Mus musculus: one gene and its partners. The protein of the gene in region 1 interacts with the protein of each later gene in a biochemical or structural test. Links are inferred from orthologs where the notes say so. Each region holds a gene or a part of one and is shown in the gene's direction. Other genes may lie near its edges.

Evidence for each region.
Region 2: of the proteins of Xiap (region 1) and Tle3, one has a biochemical effect on the other in vitro, tested with the Homo sapiens proteins (2 studies listed by BioGRID). The link is inferred for Mus musculus from reciprocal best matches to the Homo sapiens genes XIAP and TLE3.
Region 3: of the proteins of Xiap (region 1) and Htra3, one has a biochemical effect on the other in vitro, tested with the Homo sapiens proteins (3 studies listed by BioGRID and IntAct, with this or other methods). The link is inferred for Mus musculus from reciprocal best matches to the Homo sapiens genes XIAP and HTRA3.

Annotation. Positions count from the first base shown.
Region 1 is NC_000086.7:42,066,728-42,070,477, forward strand, and holds the start of Xiap (E3 ubiquitin-protein ligase XIAP), read left to right. Parts: upstream 1-1,108; 5' UTR 1,109-1,329; intron 1,330-1,423; exon of another isoform or gene 1,424-1,629; coding exon of another isoform or gene 1,630-1,755; exon of another isoform or gene 1,756-2,145; intron 2,146-3,750.
Region 2 is NC_000075.6:61,413,766-61,417,415, forward strand, and holds part of Tle3 (transducin-like enhancer protein 3), read left to right. Parts: intron 1-177; coding exon 178-325; intron 326-945; coding exon 946-1,096; intron 1,097-1,796; coding exon 1,797-1,873; intron 1,874-2,843; coding exon 2,844-2,951; 3' UTR 2,952-3,650. UniProt on the Homo sapiens protein: Transcriptional corepressor that binds to a number of transcription factors. Inhibits the transcriptional activation mediated by CTNNB1 and TCF family members in Wnt signaling.
Region 3 is NC_000071.6:35,662,664-35,666,313, reverse strand, and holds part of Htra3 (serine protease HTRA3 isoform a precursor), read left to right. Parts: intron 1-69; coding exon 70-264; intron 265-867; coding exon 868-900; intron 901-2,236; coding exon 2,237-2,351; coding exon of another isoform or gene 2,352-2,375; intron 2,376-3,650. UniProt on the Homo sapiens protein: Serine protease that cleaves beta-casein/CSN2 as well as several extracellular matrix (ECM) proteoglycans such as decorin/DCN, biglycan/BGN and fibronectin/FN1.

The DNA of each region.
Region 1 (3,750 bases):
TGGCCTTGAACTTCTGACCCTTCTGTTGATAAAGATGGAGCTTTGTTGGTTTGCTTATTTAAGAGTGCTGGACAGGTGAGATCAGTATTTGCTTGCAGTTGTTTTGTTGGCAGTGGTGGGGTTTGAATTCAACCTTGTATGTGCTAGACAAGTGATCTACTACTGAGCCTCATTCCCAGCCCTCGCTTGGAATTACCTTCATTGTAATAAGTCAGATGCAATTTTCAGAGCTGTAAGAGTACACCCCAGGGGGCCTGGGACACAGATGGCTTAGTGGGGAAGGGCATCACCACCAAATCTGAGGACATTAGTTCTTCCCTAGAACCCACATGCTGGGAGAGAACAGACTCAAGTTGCCCTCTGACCTCATACAGTAAGACAATGTAATAATTTTTAAAAAAGATTGCATTAGAAGGAATATTACATTGGCAAAAGTTGAAGAACCAAATACATTTCTTTGTCTTCTCTTCCAAGTTCCTTTTCATCAAGGACAGCATTATTTAACCAGGCAGATGGTGCCCATGGTCTTCTCCTTTTAAATATACCCAATCCATCTTAGTACACTAGCCATTAAGAGTCAAAGTTCCTGAAACCTAAGTATAGGTTTATCTGACAACCCTACAAGCATATAGCATGATCACCATTTTGTATAATCTTCTCTTGTGTCTTTTCCATCTTTGTTCTATTATTTTTCTTTGTTCTTCACAAATTTCTCTCACCCTCTTTTTGTCTCCCTGTCTCGTCATTCCTTCTAGCTTCCTCTATTTGGAAACAACCGATTCTCTAATCTCAGTTTACTTTTTTGTCGGGTGGGTGATACTGGGATAATTATTTTCTCCGGGGCTCAGTTTCCTCTGTAGGGTGGAATTTAATAGAGGTGTTCTGCCTTCCATGGTTTTCAAAATAACATTGAGGAATATGTTATATACCTAGCAGAGTCCCTGGTATCCTGTGAGAGCTCAATGTACTGTGCCCTTTTCCCCTTGGTCTTTAATCTTCTTACCTGTATTCCCCTACTCCTCACCCTAGAGTCCAGGTAAAAGCTGGGGGGCGGTGGGGAGGGGGGAGAGAAAAAGTCCTGGATGCTAAAAGAGGAAATGCTTGAGTCGGGGGCGGGGACTGAGAAGTGACCTGTGCGCATGTGCAGCCGCTGGGTCAGGCTCTGGCTTGGAGCTGGGGAGGCGGGGGTTGGGGGGTGGGGGGGGGGTTGGGCTGCATAATGAGGACTGGGGTTTTTCTCGATGTCCCCTTCCGGCTCTGGGAGGCGGCGGGACCTTGGCGGTCCCCCGAGCGGGCGCGACGCTAATCGAGGGCCGCTCGGCCAGAGAGGTAGGCTGGAAGATGGCGGAGTGGGAAAGAAGGAGGGGCTCTGCCGGGCGGGAGCGGAGCTCCCGGGGGAGGGGATGGGGGTGGCGGTGGGAAGGACATGGCCTGAGGCCAGTGGCTGGGCGAGCCCGGGAAGCTGGCGGGCTGCACCGGTTGAGTTTTTTTTTTTTTTAAAAGTCCTGACGTGGATGCACTTGGTTCCGGTCTTCGAGTTTTATCCGATGGGACTGTCCTGCCTGGGAAGGCCGAGGGAGGAAGGAAGGGAGGGAGACAGACATAGTGACTTCCGTTTCCTTCTCCTAGGCCGGGGCCCGCCGCCCAGCAGAGTTGTGTTTTCCTGATCCGGGCTCGGGCCGCCCCTCCTCCGGGACCCTCCCCTCGGGAACCCGTCGCCCGCGGCGCTTAGTTAGGACTGGAGTGCTTGGCGCGGTGGGTACAGCTCTTGTGGGTTTCCCGCCCTCCCTTCCTCTCCCTCTGCTCCCCTCCCCTCCCTTCCCCTCCCCTCTCTTCCCTCTCCTCTCCTCTGCTCTGCTCTTCCCTCCCTCCTCCTCCCTCCTCCCGCGTTCCTCCTCCTCCCCCCTCCTTCCTTCTCCCCCCCTTCTCCTCCCTCCCTCCTTTTCCTTCCCTCCATTTCTTCCCCCTCCCTTCCGCCTGGGCTAGCTCTGCCTAGTTGGGCGGGAAGGCCGCGCCCGCCCGCCCGCGGGGAATGCTGGACTGGGCTCCCTATCCAGGCTCCCCGGGATTGCCCCTGGAAGCCGTGGGTAGGGGGGCTGGCTTCAAGCCTTCGGGTCAGCCTCCTTAAACTTCGTGACACCTAAGGTAAATCTAGTTAAAATAATTAAAAAAAAAAAAAAGATTTGATCAACCTCCCTGCCCCCCCCCCCAGTTCGATACCTTGTATGGGGCAGGGTGGTGTGTTTCTGGCAAGGGCATGTGAACCCTAAAGAATGAGGGCCAAAGAGCTTCCAGAGGAGGAAGTAGCTGGTAATTTTTGCCTCTTTGTCACCTTGGTCACTTCCCCAGCATATTTCTGAGAGAAAAAAATGTCACTTATGACTTTCAGTTCCATTACTTTAACTCCGTTGAACTCCACAGTTTACTTGAGTTGTGGGGTGTTTTTCTTTTAAGCAGGGGCGGGAGGGAGGAAGGGAGTGGTGATTGCTGAAACTAAGCAGTGGCTCACTCCATCTCCAAAAAGGAGAACATAAGCCTTGGGGAAGACTAAACCTATCAGTTTGTAATAATCTACAACTTTACCTTCAAGTACAATTATGGCACTACTTCTGACATCCTAGCTATACCTTGATAGTGAATGAATCCTAGAAATGTCTTTTTTTTTAAAGACTGGAAAGTTCTACAGTGTTTCTTCATTCTTCTCATTTTCTCCTTAATAGGATTTTTTTTTTTTTTTTGTAGCCAGTTTCAAGAGAACACTGTTAAGAGCCGGCCATCTTAGAATTATAGCATTTTTGAGCTGGGAAGGATCTCAGCTCAACTCTTTTGTTTTACAAAGCAGAAACTAAGGCTCAGGGTTTCATGATTTGTGTAAGGTTACCATGCTAGCCATGCTAGTTAGATTAGAATTCAGATTTTCTAGCTCCCTGGCCACCCCACTCCTGTTGCTTCAATATAACCTCTAAGCAAATATCTAAGTATATTCTATTTAACATTTCTGTCATTTTCAGTGTAGTAAACATGTATGTGAAACTTGAGTCAGGGATTGTTTTCCCCATAACTTAAGAATGGAAAACATTTTAGGTCAGATAGATTTCTACCTACAGACACAGAAACATAAGCTTATATAGCTGTTTGGATTGGGTCACATGGATCCATGAAAGAGATAAAAAAAAATGGTAACCCTGGTTACTTCTGAAGAAGACGGATGGAAAACTAAACTTTGCTTTTCTCCTGTGCCTTACATGTTTGAATATTATAAACAAGTTTGATCTTATTCTAGAAAGTTTTAAAGCTCACATAGATGTATATCAACATAAGTATTTGCAATTGGTATTTATGAACATCCACTTATCAGTAATTTTTATTGTAAAATCCAGTATGGCTTATTTCGTCTTCACAGAACAGGTCTGTATTTATGTTTCTCTTTTGGCTTTTACCTACTGTTCTGTATTCATGAGAAATGCTAAAAAGCTTTGGCTTTATCTTTAAAGAATAAGCTTCCTGATTATCAAATAGTGTAGAAACTATGAAATTCAGATATCAAATTTGACATACAGATAAATCTAACTTACAGAATCATTTTGGATTAAACTTATTTTTAAAAGGTTATGCCTGTAAAGATTGTATTGGTGTATGTAGTACAGTAAATACTTGCTTACCATGTATAGGGCTCTGGGCTTGTTTGTTTGTTTTGTTGAGCATATCAAAGAAAATGTTAAAATTTGATCAAAATACATGATGTAATTT
Region 2 (3,650 bases), on another chromosome or scaffold:
TGAGTGGACTAGCAGAGGCCTGGTCTAGCTCGGCTTCCTGTTGGCTAAGGTTTTGAGACACGTGATCCAGTGTTTTGTACTTCCAGTTTCCTTCTAGCTTGGCTGCGTAGCTGGCCCAGTCCTTGGGATGATTGCAGTCTCTGGGGCTCACCCTTCTTCCTTGCTTGGCCTTCATAGGCAGTTCCAGGGCCACACAGATGGGGCCAGCTGTATAGACATCTCTCATGATGGCACTAAGCTGTGGACCGGGGGCCTGGACAACACCGTGCGCTCCTGGGACCTACGTGAAGGACGGCAGTTACAGCAACACGATTTCACCTCCCAGGTGTGTAACCCAAGCACTGTGTGCTTCCTCTTGGGCCCCAGCAGCTGTCAGGGGACAGAGTGACCACACAGGGTCATGATTGACTGCCAAGGGACCAGCCCGAGCCAATCCGGGAAGGTTGCTTGTAAGCAGCAGCAGTGGTGTAGACTGGGCATGCATGCCCTCAGAAATGGGCACACACCCAACTCATTCTAAGTCCACAGCTTGCTCCCTGTGCTCTGCAGTTTGCGCATGCTCCCTCCCAGCTCTGGGGTGGGCACCTGACTCAAGCCTCCTGTGAACCTCGCCCATGAGCCATGATATTTCTTGCTTGTTAGACTTGCTTCATCCTTTTAACAGTCAGTACCATAATGTGGAGTATAGTCGTTGCCAGTTTCTTAGGGAGTGAGCTGAGCATAGCTTTCAGGGCCTGGGAATTGCAGCCCCTCCTGCTCAACCTCCAAAGCCAGCTTCCTCAATGGGATACAAATGACATCCTGGGGTGGCGGGTAGGGGCAACAGACAGCTGGTTAGCGGATTTGTTTGTAAGTGGTGAGGGAGGAGGGAGGAGGCTCTAACCCTACCCAAGGGGCTGCTCCAGCCCTGCGGGTAGAGGGACACTGAACTGTCTGTCCTTGCAGATCTTCTCCCTGGGTTACTGCCCCACTGGGGAGTGGCTGGCCGTGGGCATGGAGAGCAGCAATGTGGAGGTCCTGCACCACACTAAGCCCGACAAATACCAGCTGCACCTGCACGAGAGCTGCGTGCTGTCCCTCAAGTTCGCCTATTGTGGTAAGCCCTGAAGCCCTAGCCTGGCATGAGAGCCAGCATGGGGAGCCTGGTCCAGTAGACAGTGGGGAAGTAGGGGACCCACAGTCTTGAGTCAGCCAAGCTTATGCTCCTTTAATGTCCTGGAGGAGAAAAGTACCTTCCTTGTCCCCCACCCTTGTCTTAGATATGGATGTCACTCCAGGACACTAAACTCTCAGGACAGTAGGCTTTCCATGTTGACCTGGATCTTCTCTGAAGGTTACACATGGTGCCAACTCTTAGCCTCAGAGAAACTGTCTGGGAAGAGTACGTGGCTGTGGGGGATGTTAGGAGCCACAGCTAGGAGCGCTCTTGGAGGAACGTCCTCTCTGACTATTGGTCTTTGGCTGTTTCTGGTGCTCTCTCCACCTTCTGGTCATAGACTGGGAAGGACTAGCTGACTTTAGTGGCTTTGGCAGGGATCTTTTTGGGAAACATGCTCAACACAGTTAATTGCATTTTGTTCTGTTCTGGCTCTCCCTCTGGGCAGCAGGGGAAGGCATCCTCTAGGTATCTGTGTGCCATGCTTGTAACTGCTCTTCAGGAGTGGAGAACAGCAAACACTAAAACCGTGGTCAAGCATGTCTGAGGATGTTTCCACGCGGGGCAGACACAGCTGGGTTGGGTCCTGCTGCACAAGGCAGCGAGCCACAGTCTGAGGGCTCCTTTGCTTGCCTTGCAGGCAAGTGGTTTGTGAGCACTGGGAAAGACAACCTTCTCAATGCCTGGAGGACGCCTTATGGAGCCAGCATCTTCCAGGTACACTCCTGATTTTCCTCCCCACTCCTCCCGAGTCGGGATGCGGCCACAGCAGTTGGGCTGAGGGTAGCCGGAGGCAGGACAGGAGGAGTCTGGAGCTAGGAGCAGACCTACTAACCCCTACCCCCACTAGCCCTTACTAGATGGCGGACCCCAGAGGGAAGGATGTGAGGACCAGATAAAGACACACCCTCTGTTGCTAAAGGCTTGTGAATCCTTGAGGGTAAGAGCATCTAGGAAGGGACTCACTCATGTGGCACCTGGTGCGTAAAATAGTGAGCTTGGCTGGCTCTGGGCAGCTGGGCCCGTGGAGTAGCCATTTCACCCACTGACACCCATTGAGGTCAGGATGGCCACCCTAAGCCATCAGTGTGATGAGGGGGCTAGAATGGACATGCGTTTCTACAGATTTAAAGATCTAGAGCCTCTCCATTTCAGACACACTCAATCCTCTCTCCCTGGTGCAACTTATAATCACTTTTTTCTTACAACCACTCTTGCTCTTACACACACACACACACACACACACACACACACACACTCTTCAGCTTCCTGTGCCACGTGTGTCCCTTGGAAAGTCTCTAGTTTTGTTGAGGGCCTGCAAACCCAGGACCAGTCTTTCCAGCTGGCCTGGCTGAATGAAGGGTCTGTCTCTTGCGGCTGTGGCTCTGAAGCGCTCCTTCCCATCAGTAAACTTAGCAGAGATGCTTATGCTAAGTGTCCTGTTCTCATCCTTAAACCTGGGGAAGATCCTACTACAGCCAGCTCAGGAGGTGTTCCAGATGAAGAGGCAGGAGGAAGGGACTCCAAGCCGCAGAGGAAGTGGGCCTCTTTCTACCAGCACCTGCTCAGCCTGAGCCGGAGAGTAGGATGCGATTTCGTTCAGAGCCCTGAAGTGCCAGGGAGAATTCCTGTCTGTTTTCTCCCCACACTAAATGTCTTCCTGTTTCTCCATGTCTTCCTCCCCCAGTCAAAAGAATCCTCATCTGTCTTGAGCTGTGACATTTCAGCGGATGACAAATATATTGTAACAGGCTCTGGTGACAAGAAGGCCACAGTTTACGAGGTCATCTACTGAACAAGGACTCTAACAGGCCTGTCAAACTCTGGGAGAGACACCCACGTGGCCCTGACAGGGAGATGCTGGCCAGGCCCCGAGGACGGCAGAAGGAGGGAGCAGCATTGTGGGGCTGCCCTCCAGAAGGTGGAGAGGACGCACGCCCCTTCGTGGATTGATGTGTCTGACAGACTTGAAGGACTTTCTCCTCTCCCCCTAACCAGTGCTGGCAGATGCTTCAATTAGATTTCTCTGGAGGCTTCTGCTTCCGTTTCTCCCACAGACATCCTCATAAGTCTCTGTCTCTTCCTCCCTTCTCTGACCTGTCCCCGCCCCACTCTGGGATGGGGGGCGGGGAGATGCAGGAGTAGACATTGTTGTTTCTGGGGAGGGGCGCCTCGTTCTGATTGTGCAGTGCACAAGGTTTGTGAACAGTGTAAATAAGAGACTGGTTGCTGACTGGCCAGTGAGGGAGGAACCCCATCCCACCATTGCTCGCCGTGGATTTTGCCTGCTGTATTTGTAACCCACTCATGGTGGTGGCTTTTCTTTCTTTTCTTTTCTTTTTTTTTCCTTTCTTAAATTTTTTTTTACCAGCTGTTCTGTGGGGAAAGGAAACAGAGATAAGAGAGTTGGGGAGCCGAGTGAGGAGCTTCCTGGGGATGGACAAGCCATCCTGGCGCACTGGGACTGAAGTATATCTCCACACGGGTTTTAGCG
Region 3 (3,650 bases), on another chromosome or scaffold:
AGAAAGCAGCCTGCCAGGATCCCTGTCTGGTCTGAGCCTCAGTCCTCTCTCACACCCTTCTCCTTCCAGAAAAAGCTCCCTGTGTTGCTGCTGGGTCACTCAGCAGACCTGCGGCCTGGCGAGTTCGTGGTGGCCATCGGCAGCCCCTTTGCCCTGCAGAACACCGTGACAACGGGCATTGTCAGCACTGCCCAGCGGGATGGCAAGGAGCTGGGTCTCCGGGACTCAGACATGGACTATATCCAGACCGATGCCATCATCAATGTGAGTGCTGTGGGGAAGGCTGACCTCGGCAACTTCGGACCAGCTTGTGCCCTGTCCTATCATACAACACACCACCATCTAGGAAGGCCTTTGTTATCTCATGCAGAGCATCCACCCACCCAGTGACTGTCTCCAGGGATGGGCCATCTTGGACAGTTGCAGAGATGAAGTGGCCCAGGCATACCCTTGGAAGGTCATAGCCTAACCTGCATAAGTTGTCACTTGACTAAGATTAAGGTTATATTGGATGGCACCATGACATTCTCACATCTCCAAGCCTGGGTGCCTTGGCATGTACCCCTATGCCTGCCATGACTGGTAGCCTGGTAGCTGGAGCCATTCATAGCTGTAGAGATGACACTGCCTGTCTTGCAACTGCCTAGCAACTGGCAAGTTGTGGAAACATGGAAGCACAGGGTCTGGGCAGAGTCCTGGAGGGTCAGTGGGATAGCTGCCTGCCACTGTCTTTGGGTTGAGTATCAAGGCAGTAGAAGTCCATTCTGGTGACCTGTCTTGTCACTGACTGGAGTCAGTGGTGGGGAAAGAGCTTGGGGACCACTGGGGAGTTCACGGCACAGCTAACAGTGGTTTTCTCCTTTGCAGTACGGGAACTCAGGAGGACCCCTGGTGAACCTGGTAAGTGAACCCTAAAGTGCAGTGTCTGGTTTTCTAGGCTTTGCTTACACAGAGGCACAGGCTAAAGATAGGGACAAACCCTATACAGCCCTAGGAACTGCAGTCAGTGGTCAGTAGTGTGGCCATGTTGGAGGCCCAGGAAGACCTGAGCCCTAGGTCTATGATGCCTGGAATCCACAAGGACAACAGAATAGTGGTCAGGCTGGGGCCATGTGCTCCCCCATGACATCGGGCAATGGGGGCACAGATCAGGTTGTTACTGCCCTGGGCCTTGCTATCCTCAGTTATAATCGGAGGTGAGAGAAGAGACCACACCCATGAGTTCTATAACCCACACTCATTCCAGAGTCAGCCTCAGCATCATTCTGGCTGAAAATTTTCCAGAACAGGGCAGAAGATTCAGCTGGGATCCCAGGCTCTGAGAACTTAGCGACAGAGTGGTAATATGCACACGAGGAGGCTCTGAAGAGACACGGCCCTCACCACTGAGATAGAACAGGGGCTGGAAGCATTTAGTGAATGTGTGGAGATGAAGGAATGGGTGGAGAAGGATATGCCAAGGACAAGACACAGCACATGGGAGCGCTGCTGGGGCTGGAGAAGACAGCCATGGGGCAGCCCATGGGCTGGGACAGTGTACCCTGGCACTCAGGTGACTTGCACAGGTGGCTGTCTCCTCCACACTCACGATTCTCCAGGCAAGGCTGCTGATGGAGAGGCTCATGTGGTAGGGCTAAATTCTTAACTTTCTTCTCTAGGCCCCAACAAGTTCCCTGACAAGCTGGTAGTGCCCTGGCTGGGTTGTCTAGGGCAAGCATCCTGCACCCCTCCCATGGTCAGGCCTTTGGGAGGGGTTCTGCCCAGGAGTGGGTCCCTTTGACTGGGGCAGCTCCTGGTCTGGTGGCATTGGCTCCATGAAGCAGGGCAGGGTGGGAGCTGAGCTCCGAATGGATTATGAGCTGCTGCCGTGGCCCTGCTCACTGGTCTTTGCTTTCATAGAAAGGGACAGAAGGGGTCCAAGTCTCTGATGGGGATAGATGGTGTCCTGAGTGCAGTGGACACTGCCTCCTAGGGCAGAGATGCTGGAGCTGGGGAGGCAGGAGCAACCCGATAACTTTCCTAGATGCCCTTTCCAGGGGGAAGAACAGAGAGATCCCCAGGATTTGGTGGTACACAGGGTGGGGCACTCAGAGAGCCGTGGTTACAGGAGGGCATCTCAGTGGAGCACTGACAGCCAACTCTCCCTGGAGAGAGTGCTCTTACCCTGGGCTCGGCAGCAGTCTGCGGTTTGCTTGCACTACTCCAAATAACCCCACACTTCTCTCTCTCTGCCCAGGATGGCGAGGTCATCGGCATCAACACGCTCAAGGTTGCAGCTGGCATCTCCTTTGCCATCCCCTCAGATCGCATCACACGCTTCCTCTCTGAGTTCCAAAACAAGCATGTGAAAGGTAAAGAACTCTCCCGAGGGGCAGGTAAGACAGGATCCCCAGGATGAGGTCCTGCCCCACCCATGTGAGCCAGGGCCCAGCTGCAGGAGCTATGTATACCATGTTTACTCCTAACTAGGTCTGTTATCCTCCCCAGACCAGGAGACCCCAGGCATCTCATTTGCAGCTTCTCTTAGGGCCTTCCTCCAGGCCTCTCAGCTCATGAACAAAATCATCCTCTGCTCCTCCAGACAGTTTTTCCCCCCAGGTCCTACCATCCAAACTTGGATTCCTGGGACTCCTCTTAGTTGGCAGAAAATTATGTTTCTTTCCTTCCACCCACCTGTCCACCCACCCATCCATCCACCATTCATCTACCTCCACACCTAATCCTTCATCTATGCATTCATCTGTTTATCGACTCCTCAATCTAACCATTCATCTGTATGCCAACCCACCCATCCATTCTATTACCATTCCATCCATTCATCCATTTACCTACTTGTCCACTCAACTTCCCACTCATCTATACACTCATCAATTTATCCATTCACCCATCCATTATCTATCCATCTACCCACTCACCCATCTACCCATCCATCCACCTATCCATCCACCCATCCATCCATCCATCCATTCATCCACCCACCCACCCATCATCCACCTATCCATCCATCTATTCATCCATCTATTCATCCATCTATCTATTCATCCATCCATCCATTCATCCATTCATCTATCCATCCACCTACCCTTCCATCCATCCATCCATCCATTAATCCAGCTACCAGTCTTCCCATTCATCTATATATTTACTCACCTGCTCATTCATCTTTTCGTATATCCATCCATTTATCCATCTGTCCATTCATTCATTTATCATCCATCCATTCACCCATCTATCCATTTACCATTCATTCATTCATTCATTCATTTATTTATCAATCCATCTATCCATCCATCTACCCCCATTCGCTGATTCACTCATCCACCAATCTACCCATTCATCTATCCATCCTCATATCCATCCTCCCATCTATCCACACACCCACTCACTCCCCTCAATCTGCCCACACATCTACCCATCTACTCATCTGCCCATTCATCCCTCTTATCCTTTCATCTATCTACTCATCTACTTGTACACACCTCCAGTCATTCATCCATTCTGTCACTCATCCCCCCATCCATTCATGCACCCATCAGTCCACCCATCCATGATTCATCCATTGACTCATCCTCCTTCCCCCCACCCATTTCTGCTCCACCCATCCATCTATCTACCCATCCCTAAGTACCCTTCTCAGCCTATGAATCATA